2 linked regions of the Danio rerio genome follow. The protein of the gene in region 2 purifies or fractionates together with the protein of the main gene of each other region. This does not show direct contact. Links are inferred from orthologs where the notes say so. Each region holds a gene or a part of one and is shown on either strand. Other genes may lie near its edges.

Evidence for each region.
Region 1: the proteins of phf14 (region 2) and hmg20a purify together in Homo sapiens (affinity purification with mass spectrometry; 3 studies listed by BioGRID and IntAct, counting the BioPlex papers as one, with this or other methods). This does not show direct contact. The link is inferred for Danio rerio from reciprocal best matches to the Homo sapiens genes PHF14 and HMG20A.

The regions. Positions count from the first base shown.
Region 1 is NC_133200.1:8,050,339-8,057,840, reverse strand, and holds the end of hmg20a (high mobility group protein 20A), read right to left. Parts: intron 7,121-7,502; coding exon 7,083-7,120; intron 5,471-7,082; coding exon 5,395-5,470; intron 4,185-5,394; coding exon 3,969-4,184; intron 2,977-3,968; coding exon 2,844-2,976; coding exon of another isoform or gene 2,840-2,843; intron 1,859-2,839; coding exon 1,855-1,858; 3' UTR 1,509-1,854; downstream 1-1,508. UniProt on the Homo sapiens protein: Plays a role in neuronal differentiation as chromatin-associated protein. Acts as inhibitor of HMG20B. Overcomes the repressive effects of the neuronal silencer REST and induces the activation of neuronal-specific genes.
Region 2 is NC_133194.1:40,761,067-40,769,248, reverse strand, and holds the start of phf14 (PHD finger protein 14), read right to left. Parts: upstream 5,398-8,182; 5' UTR 5,333-5,397; coding exon 5,332-5,332; intron 3,834-5,331; exon of another isoform or gene 3,776-3,833; intron 3,691-3,775; exon of another isoform or gene 3,644-3,690; coding exon of another isoform or gene 3,643-3,643; intron 2,372-3,642; coding exon 2,261-2,371; intron 1-2,260. UniProt on the Homo sapiens protein: Histone-binding protein. Binds preferentially to unmodified histone H3 but can also bind to a lesser extent to histone H3 trimethylated at 'Lys-9' (H3K9me3) as well as to histone H3 monomethylated at 'Lys-27' (H3K27ac) and trimethylated at 'Lys-27' (H3K27me3).

The DNA of each region.
Region 1 (7,502 bases), on a different chromosome or scaffold from region 2:
AAAGGAAGTTAGATCATCTGGACGGTGTTCGCTCCATTCCTGACAGATGACAGGAAGTCCTGCAGTCTGACAGGAAATGGACATGACAACAGACAGGATATTACACATGTCCTGGAGTCCTGTGCAGCTGTAGCCAACCTGTGCTCTCTAAAAACATTTACAGAGGGCCAAAAATAATTTTTACACTACATTTAGATCCAAAATATGATTTTTGTGTGCAAAAATTGTAGCTATAAACTATCATTTTGAGTTTGATTAAATTGTGACAGTCTTATTGTTTATATTGGGAAAAAAGATAACTTCTGAACCATTGGTGGGGTGGGGGTGGAACCTGAGTAACGCTAAAAAAAACAAAAAACAACATTACCCATGATGCCATACCAGTTAGCTCCACTCACTTCACTAACTGATTAAGTCTAGCGGTTTTAACTATTTGTTTAATATAATAATAATAATAACAACAATAATAAACTGGATCAGAAAATATTGAAATAATAGAGTTTGTCTCGCTATGTTCCCACAGCATAAAAGCGTTAAATATTGGTTACAAATTACATCAGAACGATTTTTAGCTCCACCCACTTCCGTTAGGTTTCTGTATCATGCAAAGGGCTTTTAGTTCCGCACACTTACATAATCCAATTCATCTTACTATATTCTCCAAGTATTTCAATATTTATCACTTAAACTCAAAATATTTGTGTTTAAACTACTTATTTGAAATGAGCTGAAACAGCACAATTCTTGAGATTTTTTAGGGAAAACTTAATGGCTTTATGTTCAGTTCGCTTAATTCGTTAATAGTTACTTTAATTGATTTGTGTATTTGTGTATTGTGGGAAAATATGAATGAATTATGTGAAACCTTTTTTTTTTTAAGTGTTTATAATCACCAAAACAGCTTTTTTCTTTCCTCATTAATGCCATAATCAAGTTGATCTCACTTTGTTCTCAAAATATATACATATTTGCTCTTGAATATTCATATATTCAAGGTACACATAGATACTTTTAGCTCCACCCACTTCTATAGCCTAACTGAGGCGCTCTCCATATATTTAATTATCATTTTCTCATTATGCTCGCAAATATCAGTACAAAATTGCTCCTCAAAGCTTTTAGCCCCGCCCACTTCCACAAATATTTCACAATACTCTCACAATACTTTAATATCTGTGAATGAATGCCTCCAAAACAAGCGAAGCTAAAAAAAATGGCGCCATTAATGGATTCCCTCTTATACAACCTACTTGAACGATTACATTAAATAAAAACACTGAAGTACCTCACCCCAGACATGTAGAACCGTTAATTAATTCACACCTGCTTGAGCCCAACTGGGTTACAGCTGTTCAGTACCTGCCTTCCGGAGCGTGTGCAGTTGAGCAAAGCGTCTGTGCTGAGAACTATAACACTGCTGTCTCGAGTGCTTAATCCCAGAAGAGCAAAGTCTAATTAATTAAACGCATTCGGATGAGCCTGAGGAGAAAGAGAATCAGACGCTCGTCAACATCATCATACGTTTGCTTTATTCAATTCTTCCAATGTCAAGAACAACATACAGAGAATTCCAGCTACAAATGAATCCACCTTTCACAACGTCGCACTTTCTTACGCAACATAAAACGAGTATAAAATCGAGCCTAAAATCAACGCACAAGTGTACATGCAGATGAACTCGCGCTGTTGTTAAAATAACGTGGCAGTAATGCATGGCAAAATAATAAAAACGAGCAGATAAAAATGGCATCGTAAAAATATAAATAGGAAAACAACCACTTGACCCTAAAAAAAAAAACATGGTCGTCACAGGATAGGAGGAGGGGCTACTGCATTGGGGGTGGGGCCTCTCAATTACCTGCAGGTGAATCAGAGCAGATTATTATGATGTTCAGATCATATTGAGATATCCAGTGGGGGAAATAAGCATTGAACTTGTCGCCATTTTTCTCAGAAAACATATTTCTAAAGGTACTGTTGACTTGAAAATTTCACCAGATGTTGGTAACAACCAAAGAAATTCAAATCTGCAAAACAAACGCATCTAACTACTATGCACATCTACTTTACAAATTAAGTTATGAGTAATAAAATGAAATGACACATGGAAAATGTATTGAACACATGAAGAAAGGGATGTATAAGGCATGGAAAGCCCAGACAGTAGCTGAAAACTCTCAGTAGTTCTTCAGCAACCCTCTGCCCGTCCTCATTGTAAATGAATGTTAGCTTCTTCAGAACAACGTTTACATTAGCAAGAAGATAAAGATGAAACCGGGGTGGACAATTTAGCAAGACAATGATCCAAAACACAGCCAATGAAACTCTCATATGCTTTCAGAGAAAGAAAATCAAGCTATAGAATGGCCCAGTCAATCACCTGACTTAAATCCAATAGAGAATACGAAATAAAGATCAGATTTGATAGACGAGACCTACAGAACCATCAAGATTTTTACACTCTGTTGAAGTCCGTGTAAAAAAAACACACCTGAGCAATGCACGTTTTTTATTTTTTTTATTTTTTATATTGTACTATTGGCCTTTTTGCCTTTATTAGATGGCACAGTATTTAGACAGGAAGCGTCGTTGGAGAGAGAGAGAGAGGGGGGAAGGGTAGGGAAATGTTCTTGAGCCAGGATTCGAACAAGGGACGCCCTGCTACTGCTCCATATGTTGACGCACCAACCACAAGGCTATTGCGCCGACATGAGCAATGCACGTTTACCAAAACCTGGTTCTATTTCACGTCAACAGCTCCTTTAGAAATATTGTTCCCATAAAAACACATGACGTGTCCAGTACTTATTTCCTCCCTCAGTAAATCAGTGGCATGTGGTTACCTGTCGAGACGGTTGACCACGTCCCGGACGGTGCTGATCAGGTGCTGGTGGTCCTGCGGACTAGACAGGATGAGGCTGTGGAGCTTTTTCATGTAGGAATCGATGGATTCCAGTGTCGGCGTCTCTCCACTGCCTGCAGGAACATGCAAAGATCAGTCAAGACAAAAATATATACTACTTATAGAAGTCTTTCACATGATGCAAACAGCTGATCCACTGAAGAAACATCATTATCATGGGGTTATCTGTAGGATTTGGGCTCACAGTGTATTTATTAATCACATAAAGAGATCTTGGTTAGGGAATAAAACTAATATATCTTTCAGGATGGAACCACAGGCAAACATATTTTTTTATCAAAAATGATCCTGCAGGAAAATGTTTTTATCTAATCATTATAAAAACAAAATTAGTAGATAATTATGATAAAGATAATAATAATAATTAGGAAAATGTAATTAGAAAATCTCCAACTTTAAACTGTTTTTAAAAAATCCATAAAAATCTTTTGAAAGCGGCTAATTGTTGTTGTTCAGTTTATTTTAACGTTTTTTTAAAATATATTTTTATATTGCGGTAATTTGTGTTTTTTTTGTGCTTGGGGTTAAGAAAAACACATGATAAATATATCTAATTATATTAATACTTTTAATATATTCATTCATTTTCTTTTCGGCTTAGTCCCTTTTATTAACCCGGGGTCCCCACAGCGGAATGAATCGCCAACTTCTCCAGCATGTTTAACACAGCGGATGCCCTTCCAGCTGTAACCCATCCCTGGGAAACATTCATACATACTCATTCACACACATACGCTACAGACAATTTAGCCTACCCAATTCACCTGTACCGCATGTCTTTAGACAATGGGGGAAACTGGAGCACTTAGACTTTTGTCTAAGCAAAGTCAGACCTTACTGTCCTAATTAAATAAAAAATCAAGGCATGATCATTTTCATTTTGGTAAAATAAGCGTAATCTAGAGGCCTTTGCTTTTCATATAAGCCACTTCTTATACCAAATGATCAACTAGAAGTCAAGTTATTATTTGTTGTAGATAGACTTTCGTCAGGTAGTGTAGACTGTATTAAATATGTGAATTGCAAATGTATTGTAGGGTCTGACCGGGGAGCGGGACGGTGGAGAAGCTGTGCGTGAGGGCTGAGCGCAGGGTCTCCAGGTGCTGCAGCAGGAGGCTGTTTCGGGTGCGCTCCTGAAGAACATCTCCTTCCAGACGCTCCACAGCGGAGCGCATGCTCTCCACATGCTTCTGCAGCGCCGCGTTGCGCTCCTCATACTCCATATTAGTCTTTCTCAGCTGCCGCATTTCAGCCTCACGCGCTAGAGCAAACAAACACACACACAGTCAATGTCAAAGGCACAACATGTACACATTTTTTCATTAAATTCTTCAAAAAACAACTAGAACAGGGGACTGATTATGCCCCTTTTTACAATATGTAAAATAAGTGGTTATTCAGCAACAAATCAGAGCCAGAGTGTGACTCAATGATGTGATGTAGCAAGTAAACAATTCAAGTGAAGAGGGAACACGAAGAGACTGGCTGTAGTTTCGCTTGATGGTGAGTGACAATTACTGTGATAATAATGATGATGCTAAAGGCCGCTTTGTTTACAGCTTGCTTTGCGCTTGTCAGAAGTTCTGGTTTTGCCGTCCTGAACGAGAAATGTGGACGATGTGGAAAGACACATGCTCTTGCAAAGACACAAAATGTGTGCTCTTGAATCAGTTGGCTTTCGTCCGTTTGGTGTGTTCACGGGCAGCTTTTTGCTCCAGGCATGAGCTAACATGAGGCGACAACCCAGTTGGGTTTTGTCGCTACTAGTTGTTTGGCATCAGCTTGAAGTTTACCGGCCGTTAAGGCTGATTTATACTTCTGCGTCAAGCGCACATGTATGCTCCGGTGCAGCCTTCACACGGTCGCAGACACATCGCCACCGCTGAGGCGCACCTCTTAAAAAATGTGACTACATGTCGTAATGATGCATAGTGCAAGCTCTGTGATTGGTCCGCTTGGTAGCAGTGACGAGTGTGGGCGGTGCTGAGAGCTGCGAGCCCGATGGAGCGATTGTTTACTGTTAAGTGTCGAGTCCTGTGAAGGAGCTCCAGATGAAAACTTTTGTTTTGTGTTTACCTTATGATTAAAGTTGTTGCACGTCCGGCCAGTTCCTGCCTCTGAATGAGTGAGTTTAAGCTACTTGTACATTCATTCAGTATTCAGAAAAACAAAACACTTACAAAGAAACTCAACACAGAAAAACATAACCTACTGCCAGCTAGTGGTTCGGAAGTGTTATTGCAGAGCAACACAAACAGCACACAAAAGTATAAATACATGGCGCCGTGAGTCAAATTGATCCCTTGACACAGAAGTATAAATCAGCCTTAAGACCTTTCAGGCTCAGCCGAAAAGTTAATTTGCTTTTCATTTTGTTAAGTTTTGTTAAGTCTATTCAGAATTGTGGGAGAATCATGATCTCTATGTTAAACAGCAGACAGACTCACACATTGATCAGCGTCTGCTCTCACCTTTACTGTGATTCAGAAACTCTTCAGTGAAGATAGGAATGTCAAACACAGAGCGATCCTTCATCTCCAGATCCTTCTGAGAGAAGAAACAACCTTTGAGTCGTTATGTTACTTATGCAGAACAGTCAGAAATGCACATACAGACCTGCTCAGAATCTCAAAACACTAAACCTTAATGTTTAAATGAGGTGAATTAAGTAGAAAATAAGGAACGTCGTGTATCTGTTTCTTTGCTCTTCTTTATTCTTTTTTACGTACAAAAGAAGTATGGGACGGGTTTCGGTATCAGTAGATACTCAAAATCAAATGACTTGGACTCGAGGGCAAAAAACCTTATCAGGACATCCATAATGCATGCCCGTTAACCCTCTTTTTTTTCCCGGGATTCTCCCGTATTTTACTGTTCTATCCCGCTATCATCCTGTAAAGGTATTTTCCCGCATTTTCAGTCTTTCTCTAAACAGCCGAGCCTCCCTATACGCAACCCATACCGGCAAACCAACAGGGGTCGCCCCTTGCTCTAAAACGTGAGTCTTCTGTGCTTTCGCTTTGTATAGAAATGAAAACACTTATGAATAAATATTAAAAACGGCGCGATTCCATTTCCTTTTGATTACAGGTGCCGTCGTCCATCCTATACAATCCTCAAAAAAGTCATATAATGGTGCATGACTGACAGCTGACGGTGATAAACAGATGCTGTTTCCCAAACTGATTCTGTACACGCGATTTGAAGCGGAGAGAAAGTCTGGCTTTTGGGTGCGTGTTTAAACAGACATACACACATATTTAATAACAATAACATATAAGGTTGTCGATCTTGGTGGGTTTTTTTTTTCAAACACAACTAATTTCGTCTTCAATGAGCATAAAAAGTTAGGAAAGCAGTCAAATGCTGTCATTATAACGTTAGATGTGTGTATTTTTAAAGTGACACCTTATTTAATGTAAAAAAAAATCTTAATAAATAAGAGATTTTTTCGTTGCTGTTTGTGTGTAAGTTATTCAGTGGAGAAATGGCTAATGAGATTCATAGCTTGATTTAGCTATTTTCATTATAATAGCTATTAATTTTAATAAGCTGAACTGTTTGCTAATGTATTTGCTGCTTATGTATATATTTATTTTTCTTTTGTTAATAATAAATGTAAAATATATTACTGACCATTTAACTGTTTATTTACAATGAAACAGCTCCAAATTAACATATTTAGTAATTTGGGGATTTTTTTTTTTGGGTGGGTGGTGGTGGTGGTGGGGGGGGGGGGGGGGTGGTGATCCCTTATTATGGTGGGCATATCCCTTATTTTCACATCCCAGTGATGACAGGTATGCTATAATGCACACAGTTGTAAAAAATGTATTTCATCATTAAAACTACTATAAACTTTTTCAAATAAATTAAATTCACCTGATTTGTAAAACTTTCAGTGTTTTTGGTTATTATTGTTTTCTACAACTTTATCATAGAATACAGTGATTACAGCATCATCCCATAATTGTATAAAACTCTAGCTAATTACATGTTTTCAGAAATCCTGAAGTTATTGTTGACGTTTCCAAGATCCCAGTTTAAGATTCCACAGTTTTTCATTCGAACCTCCAGGCCTGAAACCCACAGTCTCTTGTTTATCCCAGCTTCTCCACAAAATGACAAATGTGTGCAGATTCTGAGCGGGGCATTTTACCTCATGAAGGGATTCACCAGGCGCCTGCCTTCCAGCATCTGATAAACACAGCGACAGAGAGGGAAATTTAGATTTGACGTGATTTAAAGGACCAATTCACCTAAATATATTCACAATGCACATCCATAGCAGGAATAAAAACACTCTGGAGGTCAGTGGCTGCTTTATTATTACTATTAAATATTATTTCCAACATTGTTTAATATATATCATTTGTGTTCAACAGAAGAAAGAAACTCTGTTAGTTTGGATTAATTGAAGAATAAATATTGGGTGAAAATAGGTGAACTGCCCCTTTAAGCTGCACAACATTTCATCCTTTCTGCTTTTGTAGTTTGATCACATTGGTCTAAAATCCTGCTCCACACACACCTTTATAGTAAACCATCAAGTGTGTTCTGATTGGCTGTGTCGTCACTC
Region 2 (8,182 bases):
CCTAACTATGGCTCATGCTTATTGACAGTGGAAGATGATTTACGGTTAGTCGTGTCAGATATCCGACCACAGCATGTTGTCCTCACAGAAAAAAGCTTAGCTATTACACTGAATCAGGTAAGCTCTAAATTTTTTTTTAAATTTAACTAATTTTACGCACTTTAAACGCAGCAAGTAATATGTGAATGATATTTGCGCATGCATTATAATTTTGGCTTGAGGGAGGGTTGCCTGGGGGCCCGAGTGAAATTGGACAAACTTAAAAGGAACGTGTGGTCTAAAAGTTTAAAAACCCCTGCCTTAAATATCCCCTATCATGGGTTTTTAAATGATGACCTTCCATGCAGTGTGTAACACAGCTCTAGGTTAAGTGAAATATCCAGCTAAGGCTTAAATCTGAAAGTGCACCGTGTTTACAAATATTGATTAATTCATAAAAGAGATGACTTATAGTTTATCGAATGAATCGCCGCTGTAACGAATCTTTAGCCATGGTGTTACGTCAATATGGAATTTAAGCCCGCCCATTTGCTGTGCGAGCAGACCCAGGAAAATTGAAACCCCCGGCCCTGCCCACAAACACTGTAAAAAAATTTTTTTTAAAAAGAGGAAGACAAACACTGTATCAGATCCCGGTTAAATCATGTCATGAAGATGCTGTGCTCTGAAATATGAGGGAAAGTTAGTGTTATTTTCCTTACCCAAAGATAAACTGTGATAAGTAAGAGGTTGAAGTTTATTTTTTTTAAAATACCTCAGCATTATAGCCCCAGCCTTGTGCTGTGTTCTGTCATTTTTCGGACGAGTGCTTCAGCAATCTAATCACTTACAATGGGGTATTCATGGGTCGTTTGGTGTGTGAGACTTTGTCAGAGCTTGACAGGAACTTTACAGTACACAGTTCATGGATTTGTTTCGTCCTCCATTTCACAAGTGTAAGTAAGTGCCATTAAAATGATTGCCTCCTTGTTTTCTCTAGCTTGCAAATTATGTATTTAATTGTGTTTTGTTACTTGTAACTGCTTGTACTGCATCTGGTTAACTGTTTATATTCATATATATCGCGTCTAAAGCCAAATTGAAAACGTGACACGTGCTCGACGCTGAATGCAGTCGACCAATAGCAACAGACTGGGTAATCGGACCAATTAGCATCGCGCTAAGGAGGGGTTTCGAAACAAACGAATCTCTGAACGAATCATATGGGACTCATTGGGATAATTAGGTGAAAATAAATGCATATTATAAGACAATGAAAGTAATTTTTGAATTGCATGCATATCAGACTGTTGTTGGAAACCCCCAAAACCAAAATATGACCCTTTTTAATGCATAATAGGGGCTCTTTAAAATCGGTCATCGCCCCATGCCAACCTGTCATTTGATTTTTTATTTGTAACAAATTTGCAACAATTAAAAAAAAAAATCACATTGTCATTATGGGGTATTGTGTCTAGAATTTTGAGTAAATAAATGCATTTAATCCATTTTGGAATAAGGCTGTAACATAAAAAAAGTAGAAAGAATGAAGCGCTATGAATACTTTCTGGATACACTCTATGTAGGTCCAATATGACCCAAATAAAGAGTCATGGTATATGAAGGGCCAGGCGTTTACTATGTATTTAAAACCTACCATGAACCACGAGTCTAGTTAGTAATTAATATATTGCAACATTCTCTTACAGCCCATGACAATGATAAATCGTCCAATTAGACTAGTGTGACACTGCATTTTTATTTCTCGCTAGAAATTTCAACATGCGGCAAAACTTTCAAACCCAAAAGGGTCAAAGTGTTAGAATTTCATTATCAGGTCGCAGATATTTCTGCACTATAGTTGACAGCAGCCTGATGGGGAAAGCTTTGCGTTAACCTCCAGTCTGTCATGGTGATATGGAGCCATTGCATATGTGACTTCAGTGTTAGTAATGCATTGCAGGAGGTCGAATCTACACGCAGGTGAGAAAAAAAAACAGTGACGCATGTGGTGATGAAGGTCTCATCTCCACCTCAGCAGCTGCTTTCATGACAGGTGAGAAAACCCAAGAAGAGACCCACGTCTAAAAGGGCTAACGGTAGTATAAATAAATATGTAGCCATCAGTCAAATTTTGAACATTTTACATTTATAAGACTTGCCACTACTGCTTGTAGTCATTTTTATATTTAATTGATCCACTAATTTGTTTTTGCTTTTTTACTGTATACAAAACACTTAAATCAATGTTTTATGAAGGGGTTTTATTATTATTATTTACCTGATGATTCTCCAACTTTAAAATCACTGTCATCTGAGCTGTCATAGTCCAGAGCATCCAGCAGAGAGTCAGCCAAAGGCTTCACCTGCCGCCGCTTCGACCCCCGATCCACTAATAAAGAAATAACAGTTCACATTGAAATATACATTTCTTTTAGATAACAGATTGCAGCATAAAATATTTACATAACTAAAATTCACACCATTACATTTAAATCTGCTGCCAATTTGCCAATTTAAAGTGCTAGCAATTTGAAATAATAATAATAATAATAATAATAATAATAGATGAAAACAAATAAAAAACTGAAATAGTCTAAGCACCTAATTTATTATTTACATTTGAATACTAAAATAATTATACAAATATAAAAAGAAAATGTAGGAAAAAACGATATGAAAGAAAAATTCAACGTCTTAAGGAAGAAAAAGTTTGAAGCATATTTCATCTTGCATATTTGATGCATAAGAAGTTAAAACGCACACCTATTAATACATATTTTATTTTATTTTAAAATACATATATATTTTAATTACAGTAATTATATTTAAAAAAGGCATATTATTAAATATTCAAGTTTTTAAAATATATTTTAATATTTTTAATTTCATTAAAATATTCAGCCAGGTTTAGTGAACTTGCAATATTGTCAAAAACACAGAACTTTCAGTTGTTATATATGTAAAATGGACATTCCAACATTTTGCTTTCCAACTATTACTTCTGGTTCCTTTGCATGTTGCAAGTAAACTTGTAAACAAACATCTGTGATCGGTTCAAGAGATCGGCCAGACCAGGGAGTACTAATTGAGTCATAAAATGTGATTATCAGCCGATACAGTATCTACGGCCGATCAATTGGAGCATAGCCAAATTAATATTAGAGTGATTCCTGAAGGATAATATGACTATGAAGACTGGAGTAATGAAGCTGAAAATTCATCTTTAAAATCACTGGAATCAATTATTAAATTAAATGATAAGCTACTTTTGAACATTATTTTAAAGCGCAATAAGATTTTACAATTAATACTGTATTTTGACTAAATAAATGCAGCCTTGGAGACTTTTGACCGGTAGTGTAGATACAAAAAAATAACTACATAAATTAAAGTATTAAAATTATTATTAATAACTACCATCATACCACATAAATAATTAATAAAGCATCAACAATGTAAAACAGTTACAACTAATTACTGTAATGATTTCAACAACAGTGGGAATTCCTGCAGATTAAGCTGAAAAGCTGCACCACCAAAATGTGCATTGATTTAACCATAATAAAACTACACAGACACATATGAAAACTACAAATACCTCATAAACACCACTATGTTTGGTTAAATGGATCTTTCATGCAAAAATGATCATTTACTCACTATTTATTCTCCCTCAAATGTTTCCAAATCTTTATCTGTTTCTTTCCTCTGTTGGACACAAATAAAGATGTTTTAAAGAAAACTAGTAACCACTGATTTCCAGAGTAAAAAACCAAATGCTATGGAAGTTTACAGTTTTACAGGTGTCTTCAAAATATCATCTTTTGTGTTCAACAGAAGAAACTCAAAGTCTGAAAAAAGGGAGAGCAAATATTAAGGTAAAGTTGGTTTTATTTTCGCACATTCATTCATTTAGCAATCTCTATATTGTTTACCAAGTTACTTTGAATATTCGATAGGAATTAGCATGCAAGTATGACTTCTAAACAACATTATTGTTATCTAATTCACTGTGAACAATGTTGTACTTTGATATTCATTTGCTGCTAATATAATTTCCCTATTTAGAATTTGGAAAAAATACTTTCTGAAGTTATATTATAAAGGAGAATGTCTGAATATCCGAATATAAAAATATATTATTTTCCCTACCCAAAGATGAGGCTGTAAAGAGTGAGTAGTTGAAGTTTATTTTTGCAAAAATATCAACATTATAGCCCCAGCCTTGTGGTGTGTTCCTGTGATTTTTTCTGACAAGTGCTTCAGCAATCTACACGCTTCCAACGGGATATTCATGGGACGTTTGTTAAATGAAATATCAGAAAAGACTATTAATGTATGAGACTTTGTCAGAGCTTGACAGGAACTTTACATAGTTCATGAATTTGTTTCATCCTCCATTTCACAAGTACAAGTCAGTGCGATTAAAATGGTTGCCTCCTTGTTTTCTTTAGCTTTACCTTTTTTATTAGAAATCATGGTTTTTAATAAAACCAACTTGAACTAATTAAATATTAAGGTAAAGTAGGTTTTATATTCGCCCATTCAGACTTTCTCCTTAATAATACAATTTCAGAAAAGTTCTCATTGCAATTTTTAATAGGGAAAGCATATTAGCAGCTCATGGCTATCAAAGTACAACATTGTTCAGTCAAATATATAGTGCTAATGTTGTTTTGAAGTCAGACTTGCATGTGATTCCATATCGAATATTCAAAGTACCACGGTAAACAATATAAGGAGCATGTCACAAGCTGTCATTGAACGAATGTTTAACTATAAAAAGCCAAATTTACCTCTAGAAGTAAATGACAATTTTCTTTTTGGGCTGAACTATCCCTTTAACACTATCCTATCATGTAAAAAATATCTTCAATGTCATAAATTTCTCTTTTTTTTTAAAGATGCAAACGACATCAGACTGTGATGATTTCAAAACGTAGTTCAGATCAATCACACATTAAACTGGCTAAAGGTGCAGCACAGCTCTATGACATTAAATAACAGGATGCTGTCATTGTAGGCAACTCACTGATTAAAATACTGCAGGGTGTTTGATTAAAATAAACTCGTTTCTCGGAAATAAAACAAACAAAGATAACATGGTATACACACTAACAACTAAGAACAGCTGATATTATTTTAATGATACTCGGTGTCGGTAAAGCTAGGTGATGGAGAGATGAACTACACATCAGTTAGCATCAAGCAAACGTTCCAGTAGCCTCGTGCTAAATATTAACGCGTATTTCACACATTTCAAACCACAGCAGGTAAATTCTGATGGTGATTATGTTGTGCTATTTGTTCTCTTTCAAAATGTATACTGTAACAGCGAGATTTACTCACTTTGTGTGATTTTCTTGTTTAGCTTGGACAAAGGTACAACGAACGCCTCCTCAGCTCATGTTCTGCGTATTACGTCGATGGTTTTGCGTATCACGTGTACGCAAAGGGCTGACGTTCAGCTCAGGAATGAGGAGTTGGGAACTATGGCAACCGCCGCATCAGTTCTGTTTCATATATTTAACGACGAAAAGATATGGTATATATTTTTATTCTCCTAAATATCTCTAAAATGGGCGGTAGTGCTGTCGCCTTAAAGCAAGAAGGTCGCTGGTTCGAGCCTCGGCTAGGTCAGTTGGCGTTTCTGTCTGGAGTTTGCAATATCTCCCTGTGTAGGTTTGGGTTTCCTCCGGGTGTTCCGGTTTCCCCCACAGTCCAAACACATGCGGTACAGGTGAATTGGGTAAGCTAAGTCCAAAGATATACATGCGCTATAGGTGAATTGGGTAAGCTAAATTCTCATAAAACCATTTGGGTCTGTTGTTTGTCTATAAGACATAAATATTTCTTTAAAAGAAAAGGGTGGCACGGTGGCTCAGTGGGTAGCACTGTCACCTAACAGCAAGAGGGTTGCTGGTTTGAGTCCCGGCTGGGCCAGTTGGCATTTCTGTGTGGAGTTTACATGTTCTTGCCATGTGGGTTTCCCCCAGGTGCTCTGGTTTCCCCCTCAAGTCCAAAGACATGCGGTATAGGTGAATTAGATAAACGTTAACTAAATTGGCCGTAGTGTATAAGTGTGTGAGTAAATGCAATACTGTATGAGTGTCCCAGTACTAGGTTGGGGCTGGAAGGGCATCCGCTGCGTAAAACATATGCTGGAATAGTTGGCGGTTCATTCCACTGTGGTGACCTCTGATAAATCAGAGACTAAGCCAAAGGAAAATGAATAAAAAGAAAAGGTACATTTGTAAATGCTTTAAGGCTTTTAATAAACATCGTTTATCTTTTTCCAACCTTTCATTCATTTATTCTCGGCTTAGTCCCTTTATTAATCAGGGCTCACCAGAGCGGAATGAACTGCCAACTTATCCAGCATATGTTTTACGCAGCAGATTCCCTTCCAGCTGCAACCCAGCACTGGGAAATACACTCTCATTCACACACATACACTACAGAGAATTTAGTGTACCTAACTCACCTGTACCGCATGTCTCGAACCAGCGACCTTCTTGCTGTGAGGCAACAGACAGCACTATCCACTGTGCCACAATGCCGCACTTTTTCCAACCATTATTTTTTTAAATGTTACATTTAGTTAATTGTACAATACATTTTAATGTTGATGTTTCATTTTCATCCCATTTTGGGCCTTTGGAAATTTCTGTGAGTAAAATTAATTGATTATAAGTTTTAAAACATTTAAATTTTAGCCATTTCACTACAGTATATTCATTAATACTGTTAATTCTCAGATTATAAGTTTTTTTGTTTTGTTTTTTGTTTTGTTTTTGAAAATAGGTGAACACAAAGCATTATCACGGTAAAACAAGGCAAATTTAAAATTCAAAACTTTTTTCACGTTAACTCTTTCCAATTTCCAGTGTAGTTGTAATGCTTTAGTTTCAAAACACTAATGTTTTAAATAAACATTACATTTTAGAGTTATTTAATTAATTCATTAATTTTCGGCTTTATCCCTTGAATAATCAGGGGTCGCCACAGCCGAATGAACCGCCAACTTATCCAGACTGTCATTTACACTCATCCACTACGGAGAATTTAGAAAGATTGCCTTAGCTTTACAGTAACTAATAGCTATAAAATAACTATAACTATATAAAAAAATCTTTATATTTTTTCCCATAGTTTGTAATTTAATTTGATAAAAAGTAGCATTTATTTAATTGATTTTAACAAATGTAAAAGTGTTCAAACACAACTTTATAGCAAAATATTATAAGTAACACTAATGTTATAATTATATGCTGTGCTACGGTCTACAAAAAGAGTAGGCTACAAAAAAAAGTATTAATGTAACAGTGAGTAATTCATAATGCAACCAGCCCCTGAAGGCCACCATCACAGTAAAAAGCAGAGAAATGTTAAGCAAGAATCTTTTTGGTGGTTAAATTCAAGACTCTGTAAGGGCTATTTTCTCATATTTGTTGTTACTTAGCTAAAACAAATGTTAATGCAATATTATAATACAGTATGCTCACATTTGCATGTCATGTTTTCTTTGTGTGTGCAACAAACTACATTTTCGTTTAATTCTCACGTTGAATTTCTGTAATTTTTAGTCCTTGTTTCCTGCAAATAATAACTGTGTACACAACCATAAGCTAAAGTAAATATTCCAAGCTCTTTCTGTTATTCATCTCCATTTTCTTATTTTCTCTCTTTATTTGTTGCCACACAATAAGCATAATTTATCATGCACTTAAAGTGAATTTGATTCAGATTACACAAAGAGTTTAGTTCTTTGCTTAACAATTTGAATTAATTGACAATTGTTAATATATATATCTTGCATTCACACACATACACCACAGCCAATTTAGCTTATTCAATTCACCTATACACATGTCTTTGGACTGTTGGTGAAACCTGAGCACCTGGAGGAAGCCTACAGGAACACAGGGTTGGACATGCAAACTCCGCAGAGAAATGCCAGCTGACCCAGCTGGGGCTCAAACAAGCAACCATCTTGCTGTGAAGCGATTGTGCTACCCACTGCACCACCGTGACGCCATATATATATATATATATATATATATATATATATATATATGAGCAATTCCAGCCATATTGATGTGACATTTGGAGTAAAAACTCAAAACATAAATTTGCTTAAAAAATAAAAAAGTTTATATTAACATTTAGACATGATATAAACATTATATAGACATTATAC